Struthio camelus: one gene and its partner. The protein of the gene in region 1 purifies or fractionates together with the protein of each later gene. This does not show direct contact. Links are inferred from orthologs where the notes say so. Each region holds a gene or a part of one and is shown on either strand. Other genes may lie near its edges.

Evidence for each region.
Region 2: the proteins of BACH2 (region 1) and MAFK purify together in Homo sapiens (co-immunoprecipitation; 3 studies listed by BioGRID and IntAct, with this or other methods). This does not show direct contact. The link is inferred for Struthio camelus from reciprocal best matches to the Homo sapiens genes BACH2 and MAFK.

What each region holds. Positions count from the first base shown.
Region 1 is NC_090944.1:50,516,090-50,527,105, forward strand, and holds the start of BACH2 (transcription regulator protein BACH2), read right to left. Parts: upstream 6,315-11,016; 5' UTR 6,239-6,314; coding exon 6,218-6,238; intron 5,523-6,217; exon of another isoform or gene 5,457-5,522; intron 5,228-5,456; exon of another isoform or gene 5,213-5,227; coding exon of another isoform or gene 5,201-5,212; intron 1-5,200. UniProt on the Homo sapiens protein: Transcriptional regulator that acts as a repressor or activator. Binds to Maf recognition elements (MARE). Plays an important role in coordinating transcription activation and repression by MAFK.
Region 2 is NC_090956.1:6,854,127-6,864,635, forward strand, and holds the start of MAFK (transcription factor MafK), read right to left. Parts: upstream 6,818-10,509; 5' UTR 6,458-6,817; coding exon 6,370-6,457; exon of another isoform or gene 6,360-6,369; coding exon of another isoform or gene 6,344-6,359; intron 5,563-6,343; exon of another isoform or gene 5,325-5,562; intron 4,359-5,324; coding exon 4,279-4,358; intron 3,081-4,278; coding exon 2,646-3,080; 3' UTR 1-2,645. UniProt on the Homo sapiens protein: Since they lack a putative transactivation domain, the small Mafs behave as transcriptional repressors when they dimerize among themselves.

The DNA of each region.
Region 1 (11,016 bases):
GCATTCTGTGCCTTTTTTTTAGTAAAAAAGAGTGTTTTTCAGAAAGGACCTTTTCGGGGGGAAAAAACAGGGAGACAAAAAAAAAAATTACGAAAAGAAAAGCCTAAAAAGGTGAGTGGTTTTCTTAATTTGGGAGAAATTAGGATTGTGAGAAGTACTATAAGCTGCAATTACATATACACACACGAGACTGCACATCAGCTTACGGAAGACCTGCTCTTACGGTATAAAATTGCTTTAATATTGCAGTGAGACAAGTGTTTTAAAAAAATGGCTTATCATAATGGATTTTCAAAGCAAAAGTAAAGCTGCTTTTCCCTGAGAATAGGGCTTTATAGATGGGAACTTCACAATACCAGTGGTGTGCATTTTACTGCATTTCACAAGATCTCTCATTATTTAAATTCCTATGTATTTATGTCATACATGGATAAACGACCTTATTGTTCAGAACATGTCTTTATATGAACATCTCTGCTGTTAGGAGTAGTGTTATTTTGCTTTTTCTCCCCCCTTCCCCTTACCAAGTCAGAACAAAAGTCTCTTTTACTGCAGTTTTGGGAACTTCATGCAAATGGCAGTTTTTACACATCAATCGTCAGTTTAATAACACTAATGATAAGAGGAGAATTAACGGTAATGGGCTAACTTTTTGGCAAGCAAATCAAGAGCCTATAGAGAAGTTTCTGCTATGACAAACTTTATAGTCCTGCCTTATCAAAAGTGCTAGTAAGGAGACTTAAGACTCACCTACTGACTTGCTAGCAAGCTCGGGTTACTGAACCACTACTTTCTTGCACTAAGAGTGGTTATTTAGAAATCCATTACACAAGGTAGGAAGAGATAGCAATAGTCTTCTGGGACAGCAGGGAGCCATTTACAGAACAAAATAAATTTGCCAAGGGACACAAATCTGATTGAACATGCTCAACATCGCTCTTGGTTAAAGCAATGCTGGTTAGCCTCTCATTTTTCCCTAAGGCATAGAGTTTGGTCATTCTTTCTTCCACCCTACCCCCCTCTTGTAGTAACAGTATTTTGCAGCCTTTAAAGTCCGGTCTTGCATCCATTACTCACCTGAGTGACCCCAGTGACTTCACAGGTGCTGCATGCAGGTGCTCATGCTGCAGGATCAGTGCAGAAAGGGGAAAACAACAACATACACGTAGCCAAGAAAGCAAGAGCAAATGTTTTTTCTATGGATTGATGGATGACAACACAGAGCCGTACTTTCAAGACGTGGCTAGATCATGATCACTAGAATGAGACCGAGTATTAGAAAAAGCATTTGCTTTCCAAACAGGAAAAAAAAAGGATGTGCCAAAAAGGCAGCTTTCTGGAGTTAAGATACCACAAGAGAAGCAAATGATGGCAGATTTTTAAAAATATGTACAGATCAACACAGTAAGAAACAGCCTGCATAGCTGCAAGCACTATGAATGGGCGCTTAACCAGTCACAGTGGTTTCCTGTAGCAATGATGGTCTAAGGACACAGGCAGGATAAGCCTTATATCCTTTAGATATCAACTCTACTTTCTATCCAGACAGACAAGACATAATGCTACCTGTTACGCCACTCTAGCCCAGTTCTAATGTGGGAAACGCTCAGACCACATACGAATTACAGTTTGCTACCTCCCACTCACTTTTTGCTATGTTCAGGGCCCCCTAATAAATTGCTCCATTGCTAAATCCATGTGGGGCACCTTCTTTTCCACAGGTGCCTCACTCCTTTTTAATCTGGCCTGTAGGTTTGCTATGGTTTACAGAGAGAGGCGGCAACGACGGAGCCCTGTATTCAGAGGAAGATGGGCCCTTACAGATTTGGAAAACTTGCTCTTTAGACTGTTTATTATCACAAATAGTCAAATAGTGTTAGAAGAGACAAATTCCCGAATCACTGAATTACTTTTAATAACGAATTCTGCCCTGCTCCTTTGGATGAGGCGATGAATGACTCTACAAATATTTTCATGTCACTGAAATAAAGAAAGAAAGGATCAAATTTAACTTGAATACCTATTAACTTTTTTCAAGGTTCTTCTCCGAACCGCAAACTTCCCAGAAGAAGTGCGCTTCAGTTTGGCCATATTACCCAGCAAACGTTCCCACACCTTGAAGCAGTATTTACAGGTGAAAAAACCTACCCTGATGACTGCTCTTTTGTTTGTGCTGCATGTCTATCATCCTACCTTTTGTGAATGCTGCGAATCAGAAGTTACAAGCTCCTAAGAGTTTTGGAGAGGAGAAATCAAGCATGCTTCCAAACCACTATTTACAGCATGCATATTCAGTGATGGTTTTCATGCGTAGGCAAGTGGAAAAAGATGTTTTTAAGCAGTACAAAGCCTGCTGAAGTGTTATTAGAAGCCCCAAGGCAGGTGGGGCTTTTCATATGCTGCAGAAATGAAACATGTCGTCTTCGGGGAGAAGCTGCTGTTATCTTAAGAGGCCTGTCAAGAAGGGGCAGTTTGGGAGAACTGCGGGAGCTGAACTGCCTCACCTACAAGGAAGCTATGAAACGACAGGAGCTAGAAGGCGTTGTATGCATGTAAGGTCAGAGACAGAAAAGCAGGTAAGCCCAAACAGCAGCTCTCACCAACCTCTGAGGTACTGCCCCTGAGAGGACAGATGCAACAGGTGACTACAGAGAAAAGAGTGAGAAATAACTCTTCCACTCAGCATCATCGCTGCGGTTGCAGGAAAACAGGTGGAATTAGCAGTGGGTTTTACCTGAGAAAGGGTGGATGAAGAGCAAAATAGCTGGAGGTATGCACCTGTGCTGAAATGGATGAGGTCTTTGGACTTTTGCTGCACCATCACCATGACGTAACGCTCCTAGTGAGCCATACCACAAGCCTTGCCATGCTGTCTGAAGTGCCTTCAAACGGGATCAGAGAGAACAACGTTCGTGTCCCACCATCTGGTGTGGCTCATCCCAATCCAGCTGGAGGCATAGAGCCCCAGATCAGGCTTCCCAGCTGGCAATGCATCACCTCCAAGCAGCGCTAATGAGAATGGGGGGTAGCAACCCACCCCTCCGTACACACCTCTGCTAAAATCATCCCATAACCAAATCCTCAGCCAAATGAAGAAATGGATCACTGCCTGAGGTACATGTGACTAGATTTTTACCCAAGTCTGGAGGAGTCCCAGTTCCTACCTGAGTACTGGGGGCTGTGCATGCTCAATCCATGCTGCAGGACGGTATCTGCTCTGAACAACTTCTGGAAAAATACTGTTGCGTCATCAATACATCTGTAATCCAACCAAAAACTTAAAAAGCAGCTGAGGAGCTTTGCATGGTAAACATAGAAAAACACTGATTTCCAAGCCTGCAGCCAGTTGTTCTATAATATCTTCTGCTTTGTGCTGACAACCTTTTTTCCCTCCAATCATTCAGGCACAATGCCTTCAGGTCTGTCTAAGTAATGCAATTTACTGGAGTGGAATTCCCTTGATACCTTCTGCAGCACTCAGTGACAGTATCATTTATACTCGACACTGTCATGCCATGACACTGATACATTGGCTTTCATCCCTCATTCACTGCAGAGTGTGCAATTTCACCTTCCATTGTGCCCTTCTGCAGACTGCGCGTACAAATTTACTCCATTCATTCCTAATTACAAACCTCTGCTGAAATACTCTCATTAGATTTGTATTTCTCACTCCAAATGTCAATCTTATTTGAAAATTCCAATTTTCCGGAAGATTCATCCATTAGCAATAACCTCCAAAGCATTCCTTAACTGAGTGCATTAGAAGCGAAACTGGCAGAGCAGAGATGCACTTAAAATACACCATTGTAGTAAATCTCCATTGCTAATGTTTTTGTATTATTCGAATAATGCAATAATGAGCCCACGACTGGCCATTTCTGCTCCTCCAGCACATAAACGGCATAGGCTAACAATTAACTGCTATGTCAGGATCCGATGGCATTGTAAGGCTGCGCTGAGTTTCTAAGCATTCCCCATTCCCGGTGAGCGCGTGGGGAGGGCATCGTGGGCTGAACATCATCCGCTACCTCCCCAGCTCCTGCTTTTCCCTAGGAGCTCCCGCACATCGCAGGGTGCCACAATAGCCGAGCTGGCCGGTCAAAGGCAGCCTTTATGTGCTGGAAGCCGCTTCTCCTTGATTTTAGCTGGGCATGCCCGAAACTAAGAGCCGTACAAAGAGTTTACGACAACTGTAAAAACGTCTGACTGCAGACTGCGTGCTGCAGGAAAGGCAAGTTAAAAACCAAGCTCAGGGTTTCCCAAGGGAGCAGACAGACAGTCCGCTCTGCAATCCAACAGGTGAACTAGAGCTCTACAGCTGCAAACCTCAATCACATTGCTTCGGTCTCTTATACAAATCCTAATCTGGTGCCTACGTTTCACTTCGAACAGCGTACAGAAAACACAGACATACGCTGTATACGCAGCAGCTGTTTAAGTGCTTAAGAACAATCAAAAAGAGATCCATCTACCTCTTAAAGAAAGGGTGAACACTTCACAAATGTTATCACCATATAAGGAAAAAATTTAAGACGACTGCAGCGTTTATCGATAGTTGTACAACGTGCCCTGTGCGCCACCTCTAAAAATAGCCTGTGTGGTGATACCCCCGGAAAAGAAAATACTGTCTCATCCAATTGGAAAGTGTAGAAACAGTGAAAGGAGCATGAGTGTGCTTGCCACATGACACACACTCTCCTGGTGTTATCTTCAAAGCAATCACGTTTGAACTCATCTGCGTCAGGCGCAGCAGTAGAAAGTAGGGGGAAAAAAATCTACATCTGTATCAAAAAGGGAAAATTCCACAGGAAAAAAATGTCTACACTGCCTGTCAGCATCTGGTCACCTAAAGGATTGAGACGTGCAGATAATTATAACAGATGTAAGGCAATTCCCTGCAGAAACCACCACCATGGAAGCTAATTATTTCTGAAGTTTAGCCCATTCCCACCTGAAATATTTAAAACCTTGATTACTGCATTAGCTCTCTTGCCTTTTATACTTTTTATCAGCAGCTGGTCTCAGGCATGTGCACAGATGTTAAAACAGAAACACGCATTTAAGCAAAAAGGCATAAAGGAGGCGGTAAGAGTAAGGTGGTAGTAACGGCGCTCACAGTGTTCTCCTCCTAAGAAGAGGGAGAGGTTTGCATTAAGGAAATTTAATGGCATTTCTTATTGCATAATAAAAAACTCACCACAGCCAGCATCAATATTCCCACGGAACAACTGCATGTGCCTCTACGTGCCTCCCATATACCACATCCTCCGCGCCGCATGGAGTTATTCAGAATGAAAACCTATCGTCTTATTTAGCCGCGTGCTCCAGTCAAACAAACGAACCCTGCTGCCACACTACAACGCCTGGAAAAACCTGGAAGGGTCACAGAGTGACAAGAAGGCCGTGCAGTACAAGCTGACGCACAACGGAAAACAAGTTTTCAGCGTCTGTACCTTCGGTTCTGCAGCTCTTGAAGAGATGCCTTCTCTCTACTCATCCATTACAAGAATTGCATCAAATCGAGAAGCTTGAAATGCACAGCCACGCTCGTTCTCTGGAAATGCCACAACTACTTAATGAGTGAAGCAGGGAGAGCACCAAACCTTAGACCATACAGTTATGAATTTCCCTGCATATGCTGACAACATCTTCTCTTTAATGTTTCTCTTGGCCACAGGAGACATACCAATTAATGTGGTCATAACCGTTTTAGCAGCTCAATATATTTCAACTAATTTAGCAGATTCCTAACCGGTGTGACTACCTGGAAAAGCCACCAAGACAGCATATTTCAAGACTGGCACCCTAAAAACCAAACTGAAAAGGTTTTGCATGCCAAAAATTAACACTGAGAATTTTGTTTCTTGATGCTCAGCAGATTTGTACAGATTTCCTCCCCGCTCCTTTTTTTTTTTTTTTTTTGGCCAAAAGATTAAGTTCTGGATCAACAGTTCAAGTTACATAAGGGCGATTTTGGAGGGCTGGTTTTAAAGAACTTTGAGTCCTCTCTAAAGCCGCTTCTTCCAGATACCAGAACAACTCCGTTTCCAAATTTCTTTCATCACCACTTCTTACTTATGGACTAAGCTTAACTCCTTTTTTTTTCTTAGATAAGAAAAAGCTGATAAATTAACATAGCTAGACAACACTGCAAGTAAACTCTGTCTTTCATCTCAACACAGACACATTTACAAGTATTCAGCACAGGACTTACCAGATAGAGATGAAGCTGCATGTAAGCCAGTCATCAGAGCTAACAGAACGATTATGCTTGCTCTACAAATTGTGAAGCATTTGAATCTTATTTTTAGTTGTACACAAAGGGCAATAAATGGAAAATCTTATTGTAACCACCGCTTTTTTTTGGCCACCCACACTTCCAACACCTACAGCGCAAGTATATAAATGCAAAAAACCCAGAACTCATGGCTCATGTGAACAAGGGATGCAAACTAGCTAAATGCTGTTACTTTTTTCCAATTTGTACTTGGAGTTTCATCAGATCCTGTTAAGCATCAACGACACAGATATTCATACACGCGGCATATCTACTGGGTCAGGTATCATGTTGGATTTTCACGCATTTAATTAATTATTTGCTCTCAGTTATCCGGTGGACTTCTTCTCTAAGCTGGCTAACCACTGATGAATTTTCAAATGATGAAACGGTGGAGATGCATCTCCCTAACTCTCGGTTTCTCCCCCTGCTCCCTAAATTAGTGATGTATAAGGAGTTAATGCTTCACTTACCTGTGAGAAATTATGCTGAATACTCTACCCAGAAACTGGCAATTAAAAAAAAAAATCCCTTTACACTCATAATAGTAGAAGAACTTGAAACAAATTGCTGTCAAGGATGATTTCATTATGTTTAAATCCACTTTACCTCAACTTGCTTTGCAAATTACTTTTTAATTTTAAACATAAAACTCCCGCACCTACTACAACGCTAGTTTATCTATGTCTCCCGTGCCTGATTCTTTCTGTTTACACCAAGCACTCTGCAAAGCAACACAAGTATGAACCTAATTACCATCTGAAACGCTGCAGAAAGTGAACCCAATTAACTGATGAAAAGAGAAATAAAGAAACATGCCTGTCTTAAGAGCAGACTAAAGAAAAGTACAGGTGAAGCCACATCTGGGGATGGGGGGGGGAAAGGAGAGTTAACAATCTGCCGTCATTAATTATCTTGCCGCCTCTGAAAACGCAAGTATTATAGAGGGTAAAGCATCCATTACAACACTCCCTCTTCTGAACTCTTCAGAAATCATAACAGGAAACACGTGCCGTAAGCTTGCAATTAAAATTTAACAAAATAATTCAGACCAAGTGTCAGCTCCAGAAAAACGTGCTTTTACCTGCACTCGCTCACTAATCGCCAGCTAGACAGCGCGGCCCATCCTCTCCCAGCAGCCAACCCGCAGCCCGAGGCAGCGCCAGCTGCTCCGAAGGCACGGCACTTTACGCAGGACGCCTGAAATCAGACACAACGCTTCTCTGGCGATGATTTAGGTCGCAGGAGTGAACGTGTGATGTATGCTGTAAAGGTGCAGGTATTACGAAAAAAATGGGTCATACACCACTGAGCTAACAACCACACCACCCCCAAAGCTGGTACTAAATGACTGTGCAGAGCTCTGCCAGAAGGAAAGGATAGATTTAAACAGCAGTGAAAACAAAACTGATGCGGTGAGATGGATTTTACTTTTCACTGGTTTGGGTTAGAGAGAAAGTTAGATTACCCTGTCACCATCGCTCGGTATTTTCTTAATAAATGCGAACTGCCAGCAGGTAAGCTCTTCTGTGGGAAACTTCAGCCTCGCCAAGGTGCTGTCCCCCTCCACCTACGGGGAAACGCTTGTTATCTCATTCCCTATGGTAAGAGGAAGTGTTACCAGCCCCGGGCGGTGGGCTGTGACTCAGTCGCTCGGGCTGACACACACACGCAGGCTGTCACCTGCAACAGCAAAAATAAAATCCTCGCCACAACATCCCAGTCACGTGGAAAGCACGGAGTAAATAGATCAATAATACCTCACACCTACAGAGCGCTTCACACCTTTGAAGTGATAAACAAACATTTGATTAATGGCAGGAAGGGAAGAGGTGTCAGAATAATGCCGTTTTGTATGTTGTAGCGTATTAGAACAGACAACACCGTCCTCCTCAGACCTAACAACTAAATACAGCACAGAAATTCCAATTATTTGAGTGCGGGGGACAAAATTAGAGGGAAGGATCTGCTCCGTGCAGCCAGAGTGCTGTCTGTTCGTGTCACGAAGCCCTTGCAACCAGCCTCTCCTGGTGGCAGGAAGAGCCGTCGCTGCCCATCTGCGGGCAGAGACGCCTTGGCCGCGGTTAGAAACTATTGCTTAGAAACCCTCAGACAGGGATGTCTGCTCACTGCATACACGTGTGCGCGCACACAATAATCGTGCATGAGGTTACACCTAACGTTTTCCAGACTCTACTGAATATATTTGTTCTAAAAATATACATAATGCGTGTGCATACATATACACGTATGTGTACGTATAAATACAGTTTTCCAATCGACAGATAATGCTGCAGCAAATACTTATCAAAAGCAGCGTTCAGGCCCCCAAGCTTTGGGTTAGCCCTGCCTTGGGTATGGAGACACGGGCAGCGCTGGGGAGCACCTGATTACAGAGAGAGATTGCCACAGTGACGGCGGCAGCAATCAGTGGTCCTATGTACTCTCAGCGGCGGGCAGCAGAAGCAACCCAATTAATTAGCAGCGAAGAAAATTTGCTTTAGAGCATAGGAAAAATCTTCCTGGCTATTTTAAGATCGAGGCCCTGGCTGCCGTGGGAGGTTATGGACCCCCCCCCCCAACCCCACCATGGGAGATTTTAAGCTGAACGTGTTAGTGATGGTACATTGGGTGCACAACCCTACTCAGAGCTGGTGGGCAGAGCAGTGTGCCTTCTCCAGCCTACTGCTAGCTCAATGATATGCCATGTCAGTACCATAACACGGGCAAAAAACCCCTTTTCTATCCTAAAAATAACGCTTTCCACTGACTTGTGTCACACCTTGGACTTTACCACCAACGCTCAGAAAGGCCACTAGCAGGTTCCCAATCTCCAAGCAAGGAAACGTACCAGAGAAATCATGACGTCCATCAGGTAGCATCGCTGTGGCTACCAATGTGACATGGAAATCACCTAAATGCTACAGTGATATATGCCAATATGAAGCTCTTAAAAAGACAGAGGGCAAAACTCTGCACAAAAAGAAGTTTCTCATCCATAGGAAAGCATTTCTGGACAGGTGGCAGCCCTTTGCTAGGACTATGGCCCCATTTAAATAAAATACTTGATGTCCCGTAGGAATACCTCACTCGCACGACCAAGATACCAGCAGTGTTTGTACCCAGAACCGAGCAACTGCCTCCCCTTCCTATCTTCACTGCATTCCTGCCAAATACTGGTGATAAGTCAGATGCGTGCACCTCTCGGAAAGCAAGCCTGAAATTTCGCAGGACAAGCAGTTCTGCAGTTAACGCACAGAAAACACAGAAAGCACCACATGAGAATGGGACTTTTTTTTTTTTTTAATTGAGATTTTGTGGCAGATGTGGCCACATCTCAAATTAAAATCCAGTGCTGTCTGCTCAGCAGCATAAAAACACCCGTCTCCTTAGCTATGACCATGGCACTTGGGAGCGGTTGGACTGGATTTGGTAAGAAGAGACCCAAGTGTTTGGTAAGTAGATGTTCAAAGGGATGGGACTTGACCTTCAGAGATCTGGTTTCCTCATTAATCCAATCAAGTTTCCTGACCTTTGGGTGCAGATTTATAAAAAGACACATTTTTTTCCCAGTCTGTGGTAGTAGGCGGATGACAGACATCTAATCATCAAAATCTGCATCTTAAAATTTTACATTATTTACATCTGCCTACAGACGGTAGCAGGACAGAGTTAAAGAAATCTTACAAAAAGAAATTGTGAAGAACCCATACCTAGAGAATATTGATGTCGTGTGCAGAGGCTTTCTGAGTTCAAGTTTTGGGGGCTTTTTGGAAGAGAGCACTTACTTAAAGGCTCTTGCTGAATTCTCCACACAGTCTGTGCACAAGCAGCACAAATTAAGACAATTTACTGTCCTCAGAATGCCCTTGATTGGTGCGTTATTTTTGCCGCTTTTAAAGGAAAAGGAACAGCGGCGAGACAAAGCCAAAAACGGGAACACAGCGCTGCAACTGCAGCTCGGAGCGCGGTCCAGCTCCCCCGTGCTGCCGGCAGGGCAGCTGCCGGGCCCTGTCCCGGTTTTTGCCCGGGGACACAGCGATAGCAGCAGCGTCTGGTCAAAGCCCCATCTGTATCATGTTATTAGTGATCGCTCAGGACAACAAACTACGAGCTGTTCAGCTTCTCCCTAATTCCTACGCTCCCTCGTTACAGCCCCAGTCGAAGCTCCCCTGCGATTACTCCCAGGGGACCCGGATAAAGGCTTTTTATCTCGGCGTGTGAACAGGGTTTAGCAATCTGCTCTATCAGAACAAGGGAGAAGCCTTCGGCTCTGAATTAGAGCATCATCAGTGCATGCTATTTTTTATGGCGATCACATCAACCAGCACGCTCGCAGCATTATAAAATGTAAATAATAATGAAACAAAAGGGGGAAAGGTACGCTTGCACGCTAAATACGCCGCACCTCGGGAAAAGCCAGAACGATACGACAGTTTTAGCTCGGTCAGCCTCGCACAACTGCTCTCTCCAACTGGGCTAATCAGTCCGGGAGAACTGGGTTCCTCCTCCTGGAATCGCTTGCAGGCTGATGCTTGCAAGTGGAGTTGCTTATTAAAAAGCCAGACAGCAGGCTCGTGAGCGACACCGGGAAAATTAAGTCAGCAACTGCAGGCCTGCCCGTGCAGCCAATGCCACTGGCACAGATGTGGGGGCCGAGCTGGTGCCCCCGCCAGCAACCCACTGCCCTGCAAGGCGACACATGCATTTTCCTGGAGTTAGGGCGCATGCCATGT
Region 2 (10,509 bases), on another chromosome or scaffold:
TTGCAGGGATCAAGGACAGCCAGAGGGGCGTTCCTATCTAGCCAGGAACATTATGGAGCTCTGGAGCTGTTTTAAAAACTGGAAGCATGTGGGCATTTTCAAGTCAACTGGCCTTTTTCTTTAAAATTTTCATTTAAAGCCCCAACAGTGCCAGAAGTCTCCATTTTGCCTGTTTTTGGAGGCACCTGTAAGGTCTGGGAAAGTTTCCAATGTTTGTGAGTTGGAGAACATGAGAGGACCAGGAAATGACAGTAACATCTTTCTCTTCCTCAGCTTCTGCTGTGGGAGTCAATAACTGGTACTGATACACAGGACATCAATTTGCCTGTTAGGAGATAGGAAGGGAGTGGAGGAGAAATGAGGTAACGCTAAGTGTCATCCAAACTCTACACGTTGGAAAAAAAACACTCGAAGGAAACTCCTTGCTCCCCTCTATAACAGGTGGATCTTGCAGGGGTAACAAGCCTCCAGGAAGCATTTAATTTGCACCCTTTCTGGCTCAATAAGGTCACAAATGCAGATGTTGAGGACTGAATGAGAACCAAGTCTGAGGTTTCTCTTTTCATTAACCTATTTCACAAAGGACCCTTTTGGGAAATCCTGAGACTCCAATGACAAGGTGAAGAGAGGGGAGAGGAAAAAAAAAAGCCAAGCTGACAACTTTTTCCAAAGACAAATAGGCCTTCACTAAAATTCTGCAAACTTAATGCCATTCAAGACAAGACAAAGCCTTGAACAACATACTAAACTGGGTCTTGGATGCCAGTTTACTATCCTTTAAAACAACAGTGGAACTTGATTATTCTCTTTCAGTCCAAAACAAATGTGAATTTTGTGATCTCTGTTTTCTATTCTAGAGCCCAAATCCTCTAAGCTCTTCTCATCTTAAACTTCAGCAATCTCATTCTCTTCTCACCTGTGTGACAACAGGCATCGTCTATTCCACAAGTTTCTGACCTGCCCTGCAAAACTCTCAATCCCTTTTCTTTCCTACTTCAAAAAGAAAAAAAAAACAAAACAAAACACACAAACACCAACAGAGCTATTTTTACAGTGACCTGGAAACATTCGTCTTTTCAGTGCTGTTGCAGAACAGCAGAATCTCTCCTTTTGGCTTCCCACTTCCTGCCCATTGCTGAGCCAGAAATCCCTCTTCTAAACCACTGCTCAGAGCCATATGCACGAATTCTCGATCCCAATTTTACCATCCCCTATGCACACTGATTTTCATCCTGCCCTCTGTGCATCTCTTGGGATAATTCACAGATGCCCAAGAGAAAGTGTCAAGTTTCAGGGTCACATTCACACAGGTTGTCTGAACACTGAGGGTTGTACACTGTACTCTTTGGATCCCAACTTCAGTGCCTGAAACACTACAGAGAGGAAAAGCTCTTACAACTCCCATCCAACCACCTCACAGCCCCTCTCTGGTCATCAAAGACTGGTGAGCCTGGCTCTCCAGCTGGGATAGTCATTGCTTACCTACCAATGCTTTTGTCAAAGAGGAGGCTCTACAACTTCTCTCTTCCTGTCTTTATGCCATTGCCCTCTAGTTACACTTCAGTGCTTTAAAAACATCTTTCTAAAATACTCTGTATAAATCCCTTATCATAGTGCTGATCCCAGCAGAACAGTTCTACCTTCTTGCAGTCAGTTCTGCCTCCTTCTAAGAATACTTCCAGCAGTTTTCCTCCTTGTCTCCCCTTCTCCTCCCCATCACACAGCTCTTCACAGCATTTACTGTGCCTCCTTCCCTTAAGCTTCAGGGAACCCAGAAAAAAAAAAAAAAAAAAAAAAGCTGCTACTTCAAGACTGCGGATCATTCGGAAGAAATAAACTGCATAAATATACCCAATTCACAGGCACACCTTAGGGAAGGAGCTATTGGGGAACTTGGTCTGGAATAAAGGAGGCTGCAATGTAGTCTTCATAGGCCACACAGGTGATGGGGCGTATTAAAATATGTAAAATATATATTTTTCCATATTTTAACAGCAATGGATTGAAAACAAAAGGTTATTCCTAATGGGTGTGGTCAGATCCAAGCATTAGTCTCCATTATTCTCCCACTCCATTCACGGCAGGATGAAATTCACTTCAAAAAGCCTATTTCTCTGCCCTCACAACAGCAGATGGAAGTCGGGAGGGGAGGGGAGGGGAGACCTTTCTTACAGGGAGTAGAATGCCACTAAAGGAAACTCTTTTCCATATATTCATCTCACATGATGATTTCTATGGTCCAGCTGTTTCCTGGCTCTTGAGCATCATTCACAAGGACTCCAGAGGCTTCTCAGGTATCTTCTCCCAGCTGGAAAGCTGCCCACGGCCTAGAAGGGGTTGGGGAGGCAGGGGGAAGGAGGAAGCAGATCTTGCTATTTGTACTGCATACAGAGCTCAAATCCTGGACACGAGGTTGATGGAGCCACCGAGTCCAGAGAGAAGCAGCCAGTTAAGTTCCCTTTGTAGATTATTTTTTCTTTTTTTTTTTTTCTTCTTTTTTCCTTTTTATTTTTTTTTCCTTTTTTGCACTTTTGGAAGAGAACTGTTAAAATGCCAATTCTTGACGTGACCAAGGACTCTGGAACAATGCATAAGAGCCTTTTCCCCTCCCCTCTGAAAGGCTGCTAGTTCCCCCACCGAGGGCACTAGGATGCTGCTGAAAACGGCACAGAACTGGATGAGATTTCAGCTGATTTCACGATGGTGATGACACTGGTGGTGGCAACTTTGGTCGGGGTAATAGGCCCTCGCGCCACAGTACGAGCAAAGGTCTGGAGTGCTTCGTACTTGGAGCGCAAGGCGTCCAGCTCTAGCTTCATGCTGCTGTTTTCTCTGGCCAACTTCTCCACCTCTTGCTGCAACTCAACCCGCTGCCTCTCTAGCTCCTCCTTCTGAGTCACACGCTTGATGCGGCAGCTGGCAGCGTAGCCCCTGTTCTTCAGCGTGCGTCTCCGCTGCTTCAGGCGGATGACTTCCTCTTTGGTGAGACCCCTCAGGTGCTGGTTCAGCTCCCGTACGGACATTGACACGAGTTCATCATCACTCAGCACTGGGGCATTCTCTCCTGACTCCTCCTTTACCTGCAAATACCAACAGTACAGGGGTAGCAGCAATGCTATACGAGCAGCTATTCTGGGCGGATAAAGGAGATAGGGTACCCCTCAGCAACATAACCCCCCTACCTGGAAAAAGCCCCCAAAGCACTTTACAGACCACATGCTCCACTAGAGCGTAGCCACAGCTGCGTAGAACACGGCAGGGACCTGAACACTGTATCTCCTGGCTTTGGGTAACCCTCTTAAGTTGGAAAAGCAATCAGCCTTATGCATCCAGTTTGAACTGACAGACAGAGGAAATAGTAAGATTTTGAAGGAGATAAAAGCGGACTGAAATGCCCTGCGTTCCTGTGTCAGGACATGGAAATGAATCCTAAAAATGACACCTTTTCTCAGCATCATGCTGGGACACCTCATATGCTCATTATATACTGGAACACCTTGGCACTCCCAAAAACAGAACAGCCACTTGCACGCAAGGTTTAATTAAACATCTGGTGGCTTTTTGTTGAAGATGCTCATCCAAGCACTGACCGAAACCAACCCTGCTTGCCTTACAGGACCACAACATGATTTTGGTTTTCTGGAGCACAGTCCAGGGAAGTTGTATGCGAGAGACCCCAAGGGATTGTGCCTTTTTCTTATGGATCTCTGCTGCCACAATTATTTTTAGAACCTTTAAGACATCTTTTTTTTGTCTCTTCAGAGATTGCAGAATACCTAGAACGAAAAGCCAAGATACCAGAAAGAAATCTGAACAAAGCATGAACAAAGTGTGCAGGGACAGCCATAAAGCAGGTGTGTCCCAGATGTTTACTGTCCCACGGACCTGTGAGAAAACAGCTTGAAACTTCCTTGCTCCAGTTCATCTCAATTCTGAGAGCGAAAGTAACGTACTCTCAGGCCTGGGAGCATTGGTTTCAGGATGCTGCCAATACTTGTTATAGTCAAAAGTCTCTTGGGTAACAACTGGGATACTCTAGCCTTGATGCAATCCCATACTCGCCAGACTTCTTTCTAGATATCACCAGTATTTCTCTATCCTATCTTCTCAAGAACTTTCCTGTAGATAGTGAGAAATTATATTGGCACCCATTTGCAAGAGTCTCTCCAAAGGGGGGGGGGGGGGGGGGGGAACACATGTGACAGTCTTCACATGGAATATGGTTCCTTGACACCTTCCCCTGCCACCCAGCATCACCCACTCAGCCTTTCTCCCTACCTTTAATGCCTTGTTCGGTTTGGGATTAGTCGTCATAACCTGAGCACAGTCTTCTGGACAGAACTGCTCAGAAATTGCAACTGAAAAACAAAACAAGATTTTCAGGTTATCATAATCTCAGAGATAACAGTAGGAAAACGATACCAACACACACTCCAAATCCCCAACTCTAAAGCATCATTGAAAGAAACATCACACAACTGTTTAAAATCCTGGGAAGGATTCAGAGATTAGTTTACCCCCTTCAGAAAGAAGGGGAAACGTGCATTGACAAGTGCCCTGCTTTTTAATGCTAAATATCTAATATTTTGTTTTTAAGTACACCAAGATCAAGCAAGGAAGATGGGACTGGGAGGGCAAAAAGGGTACTTGCTCCTGCCTGTAAACAACAGTTATGCTAATAACTGCATACTACCTTGCAACATGCCACCTCTTCTGAGGGGGAGAGCAGAGTTCAGCCTCCCAGGCCCAATCAGTTGTTCATCTCCTTCTGGAGGAATCCCAGACACACAGAATGGTCTATTAGGGACTGAATTAAGACTTACCTCTGCTCATAAAGGGCATTGAAAAGCCACAAGACAACAACTCCCTTCATTCTTATTTTGATTATTATTAACCTAGCCTCAAATTGAATCAGCAGCCCAGAAATAAGCTGCCTAGTTTGTAACCTGCTTTCACAGCCATCCCCACCCAAAAGAGACGCTACTAGAAAACCCGAACAGCAGAAACGAAAGCCCCCAGATAACAAAGCAAGGCAGGTGTTTGCCTCTCCCAGCACACCAAGGCTGTTGCTTCATGATCCTCTCAGCCCACAGGCTGCTAGAGCTAGCCTGCCTGATATTTCTTGTGACGTGGAGGCATGTCCACCGACAGACAGACCGTCCTCTGTCGAGACGCTGCCCTTCACTCTCACCTTAGCTGGCAACTACACCCCTTCGACCAGCGCTTTGGAGAAAATCTACCTGCCTAGACCTCCATCCGAAATCTTCACCCCACCGAAGTGCCAAGGATGAGCCTGGCAGCGCTGCTGTCTGTCAGGTACCTACCACGAGAGAGACGACTGCAGCTGTGACTCCATCACAGCCTCTGCTTATCGCTCCCCCAGCATCTCGGCTACCCCTGCAGGGAGGGCGCGAGGCACTGGCTCCCACACCACGCCGGTGCCCCCTACGCACAGCCGTGGCGGCTTCAAGGGCTGCACACCCAGTGGCACTGCAGAGCGCACAGCCTGTCTGGCGGGAGTCCTCTCCCCCCACCCCACCCCACACCCTCCCCATTCCCACGTCTGCATCGTGTCACACATTCTAATCATTCATGAAAAATCCAGCCAAAGCATCCCAAGCATGATTCCCTTCTGATAGTTGCCATGGTGACCTTGGGAAAGTAGCCAACCCTGAGACAGTCACCATGGAAACAGAGAAGCCCAAAAGCAATAATGACTTCAGGTCATGTCTGTGCAAAGACATCACGAGGTCGTCAGAGAGTAAACAAACTCATTCATATCTGCAAACAAGGGGTGGAGGGACTTGGGGGGTGGGGGGGGGGGGGACAAAGGTGGGGTGTGGGAACAACAGAGAGCCATGCGGGTAAAGGTGCTGGCTCAGCTTGCGTTGCTCTCGCTTGAATTTTATCAGTCAAGACACCTCATTGTCATATGACTTGCAGAAAAATCAGGATAAAGAGGGGGAAAAAAAAAACAAATCCCATAAATGCGAAGCTACAAGATACTATCCTAGATATTAGGGTGTGTATTTAGGCACCTCCTCTATTTTTAAGCCTGAGACAGCACAGCTTTCCATGCCTGCTGGAGGAGGGACAAGGACAGCCGCACAGCACACCAGCCAAGATGCTTTGTGATGAATGGACCACTTACAGCAACTGGTGTGCGCTGCATTTTCTAGAGCATCACACAGAGTCCTTCCCATCCCTCCTCCAGTATCAAACCCCACCCTGGGCCCACTTCCAGGAGCCCTTGCCTCCACCACGGCAGCAGGAGCAGGCTTGGCAGAGGGAAGGAGAGCACCCAGCGCAAAACCCAGTCCCTCGCTGTTAGCACAGCCCCCACCTGCCCACGAAAGCATCCTCAGTTACCGAAGGGAGAGGCCACCTCTGACCTCTGGCTGCTGCAAAACTGCGTATCTCGCACTGGAGTCGATGGCAGACAGAAACGCTCTCCCATGAGAGCGCACGCAGACGGGCGCCTTTTCAGATCTCAGCGCTGCCCTTTCACCGTCCTCCTCTCCATTGCTTCCCCTTCACACTTGGTATTCACCGCCCGCCCCTACCTCCAAGCCAGAAGCACACACAAACGCACGCACTAGCACAAAGGAGGAAGGAAAAGCTCGTTGTCTTGGCCAAACGGTCCCAGCAAGCTAAGGAGAGCAGAGCGCTGCCAGTGCGTAAAGGAAACGGCCTGCAGCCCCCTCCCTACACACGCACAGCGCCGCGGGCCTTGCAGGCAGTTGGTGCCATAGTTATGCAGTGAGTCACCAGCTGTTTACAGAGTTTGAGAGCTCACATTCCCACAGCATCAGAAACTCTTCCTTCCCCCGGCATCCCCCCTCCCTCGCCACCCCCATCCCTACAAGGAAAGGGGCACACTACAGTCCCACTGGCGGCACTTCGCGCAGTTAAACCGGAAAAGGAAAGTCAAAAAGGAGGGGGAGGCCGAGGACAGACCGGTCACACCCACTGATTACACAAAAAGCCTTTTGATCCTCACCCAATGTGTCTTCAAAGCACTTTCTACACCAGCCGATGGAAAAACTGAACAGACCGCTTGGCTGCACAGAGATGGAAAGAAACGTAAAATATTGTGGAAAACAAGTGCCGAGGGTTGAGATTCCCTCCGGTGGGGGTCACTGTCTGGGCTCGCCTGCCACCCAAAGCAACGCCGCTGCCGCCGCGTTAATAAGCTGCTCCGACTCCACGTGATGAATCCACTTCTGGTCACCTGTTGCTCTGTGTCGCCAAAGCAACATCTCCTTACACTGCACATTCCTCCGCGGACAACACAGACTCCTTCACATTTGGTACGAGTGCACGGTTGGTACCCGAATTAACAGGGGTCTTGTGCTTTACGTATTGCTTTCCTTGCATATCGAAGCGCTCTAAACAGACTGGCTTCCCTCTAAAACGGGTTGGGATCAATCCTATTGCATTGGGGCGAGATGCCAGAGCCCTTCCTGGCACAGACACGAGGAAGGAATTTAAGCCACCACCAGTAATTACGATGTCTGGCCATCTTCACATGCGAGCGGGATGGGGGTCACCCCCACTCTTAGGGGCAGAATTTGGTAGTGCAAGCAGGAATGCTTCAAATGGGCTTAAGTTCCTCACTCAAACGTGAATGCCAGGGTGAGGCTTACCTCTGCACTAGGTGAACCTGCAGGCGTGGTCTGAGCTTAACGCAAAACTGATACACCACCACTTGCAAATCCTCGCTGACAATCCCGCGTGGCCTCGGTCAGCTTACTTAAAAGTTGACTCCGTCTCTCAGCTGTACAATCCTTTCTGTCAGTACTATTTAGGACTATTCGGTTACCAACTAGAAGTAAATATAATTGGCAGGGCGCTTCCCACAGACAGAAGGCAAAACCCCATGATAAAGTAGTAAATAATACTGCAAACTTGCCATATTCAGCGGTGCCCCCTAAACATGCTACACAAGGGTCTTCTGGGACGCTAACTCTGATTTGATTACTAGAACCCTTTTAGTCTTTACCCTATTTCTGCCCTTCTTTTCTTAATTGCATTTGCTGCATCACGTCTAAAATTAGGAGCTAAGCTTTTTGGAACAAGGACTGCATTACATCTTTATTCTGTAAGCAGTATGACACACTTAGGATGCTACATAAATAAAACAGTGAGTAGTAATATACCAACAGTAAGGGGCAAAGGCTTTCACAGTTCGGCTCTGTGCTTGTACTTAAAACAAATGTTTTGACTGTAGGTTACACAAAGAGCCCTTGTAATTCTACAATAAAGTTATCCACTGATAGTCTTGCCAACGCCCTCACCCTCTCCAAGACGACTCCTAAGTCATTCACAGCACCTTTCTAAAAACTTGGTGTTCTCAGGCTGACCTCTTGTCTGATGGTCTCAACTTAATCCATCTAGTGATCCCCAATTCCTTTGCCTCGAGAGGAAAGAGGAAAGAAAATCTGACCAGTGCTCTGAGGCAGGACAGAACCTTACGTAAAATTTGCAATTAAAAAAAAAAAAAAAAAAAAGAAATGCCAGAATGATTTTCTATGCTACAGGGCTCTCAGAGCACATTACACATTAAGGATTTACTGTAAAGTCATTTCTAACACCCAACAGCCGTGGATGAACTCAAATTTTAAAATCTATTCTATATCAAAAGACAAGCCTGGCCAGAACATAAGTATCTGGCAGACAGCCCTACTGGTATTGAGCTTCCATCCTCAGACAAGTACAGCAAACTGAAAACATGCAACTCTCACCTTGAGCCAGGCCAGCAACGACTTCTAAAGGGTAAAAACACAGCCTACGGTTTTAAGCAGTGAGAGGATATCAGCCATCAAGTCTTAATTCGGCACAGCCATGTATGCAGGGAATATTCTACTCAGACTTTCCCAAATGCAGGAGTATAATTCCCCAGCAGCTGTTTTAGTAAGTTGCCTAAATTTCTAGTTTATCCACAAGTTATTCCCAACTCCTGAAGCTAGCCAAATGAATATGCTTACCAAGAATAACGTCAGATCTGACAGGTGAAGGGAACTACAGATGCTCAAATCTTGATCTCTGTGCCTCTGTCCCTCAGAGGCATGACATGGATTTCCAACACATTGCAGCATGGTATGCAGAGCACCATCCCTCTCCCATCATTCAAAGACCATTTTCCTGCTCTAACAATCATCGCTCATCCTGAAAGACAGACTGACGCTTGTCATTCATTTGTAATAAGAGAGGGGAGGGACAGGCTGATGGTGTGAATCAGAGAGTAGAAGCATATGCAAGGCAATGTATTTGACACGAACAGAGAGAAGACACAGAGGAGGGGGTGAGTCACTGTTTACTGTTCTAGAGGAGCTACACACAGCCCTCGCCCAGCTGGCCAGCTTTCCATTTCCCTTATGGATCGGAACCAGCATCCAGCAGCAAAGAACAGATTCAGGAACCTTCAGACCGAACTTGAGAGCTGCCAGGACACAGCTCTCTGAGGCACTCTCTGGGGAAGCCTGGACAGAGATCAGACAGTCTTCAGTGGTTTGGTAAACAACCTAGACAGATGCTGCAGAGAGCCTGTGGTTGGAGAGCAGAGGATACAGGAGGGTACACTTGTGTGTCACATCAGAAACCCTGGATTTCTGGGGAGGTGCTGGCTGAAGGGGAAAGGTATGCTAGAGACAGTTCTGATACAGCTGAGGCACAGCATATAGCACTTCTTTCCAGTATGCCCTTATAGAACACAGTGACAGAGCTACACCAGAATTAGGTCTCAGCATCACTAGCCTGGAGATGCATTCTCCCTCAAAAAGGGAAGCTGAGCCACAGAGCGACCAATAACCCTCAGATCTAGGAGCAGAACTGGGATCAGGATTCCTGACTTCACTGGTCCTGATCCCACGTGCCAGCCATTAAGTCAGACATCTTCCCTGATTGCTAATAATGGAACATAACAGCATTGCTATTCAGGGTCCTGTAATATTGCAAAGCAGTGGGATTTGCAATGCAATCTGTCCCTCCACTTCAGAGCTTAGCAGTAGGGTAATTGCTTTCATTACCGCCTCCCTCCTCCCCCCCTCCTCGTCTTCACAGTCACCCAGTGCTGCATTGCTTTGTGCTTGCTTCATGCTTGGAAGACTCTCTGCCCGAGTTTGAAGATAGCCTGAAACAATAGCTCAGACAGAAGTGGAAACTGCCTGTTCATCTCAACAGGGTGCTGAGCCTGAAACTTCCTGATAATTGAAAGTGCTAGCGCTGCTCAAGTACTTCACAGCTGGATGTTTACAAAAATGATCAGCGTGAGCTTATCCCACAAACCCTAACTGCCGCGGGGGCCAGCACTCCCAGCTGTCCTCTCTCCGATTCCCAAACATCGAACACAGCTAGAAATTTTCAATATCAAATTCTGCAGTCGCGTTCCACATCGTTAATCATTTTTCAACGTTGATGGAAATACGAGTGCATCGAGCTGATCTGTATTTTTATTCTTTCAGAAGGCACACAGTCATTGCAAACTCCTTGCTGCAACAGATTGCCAAG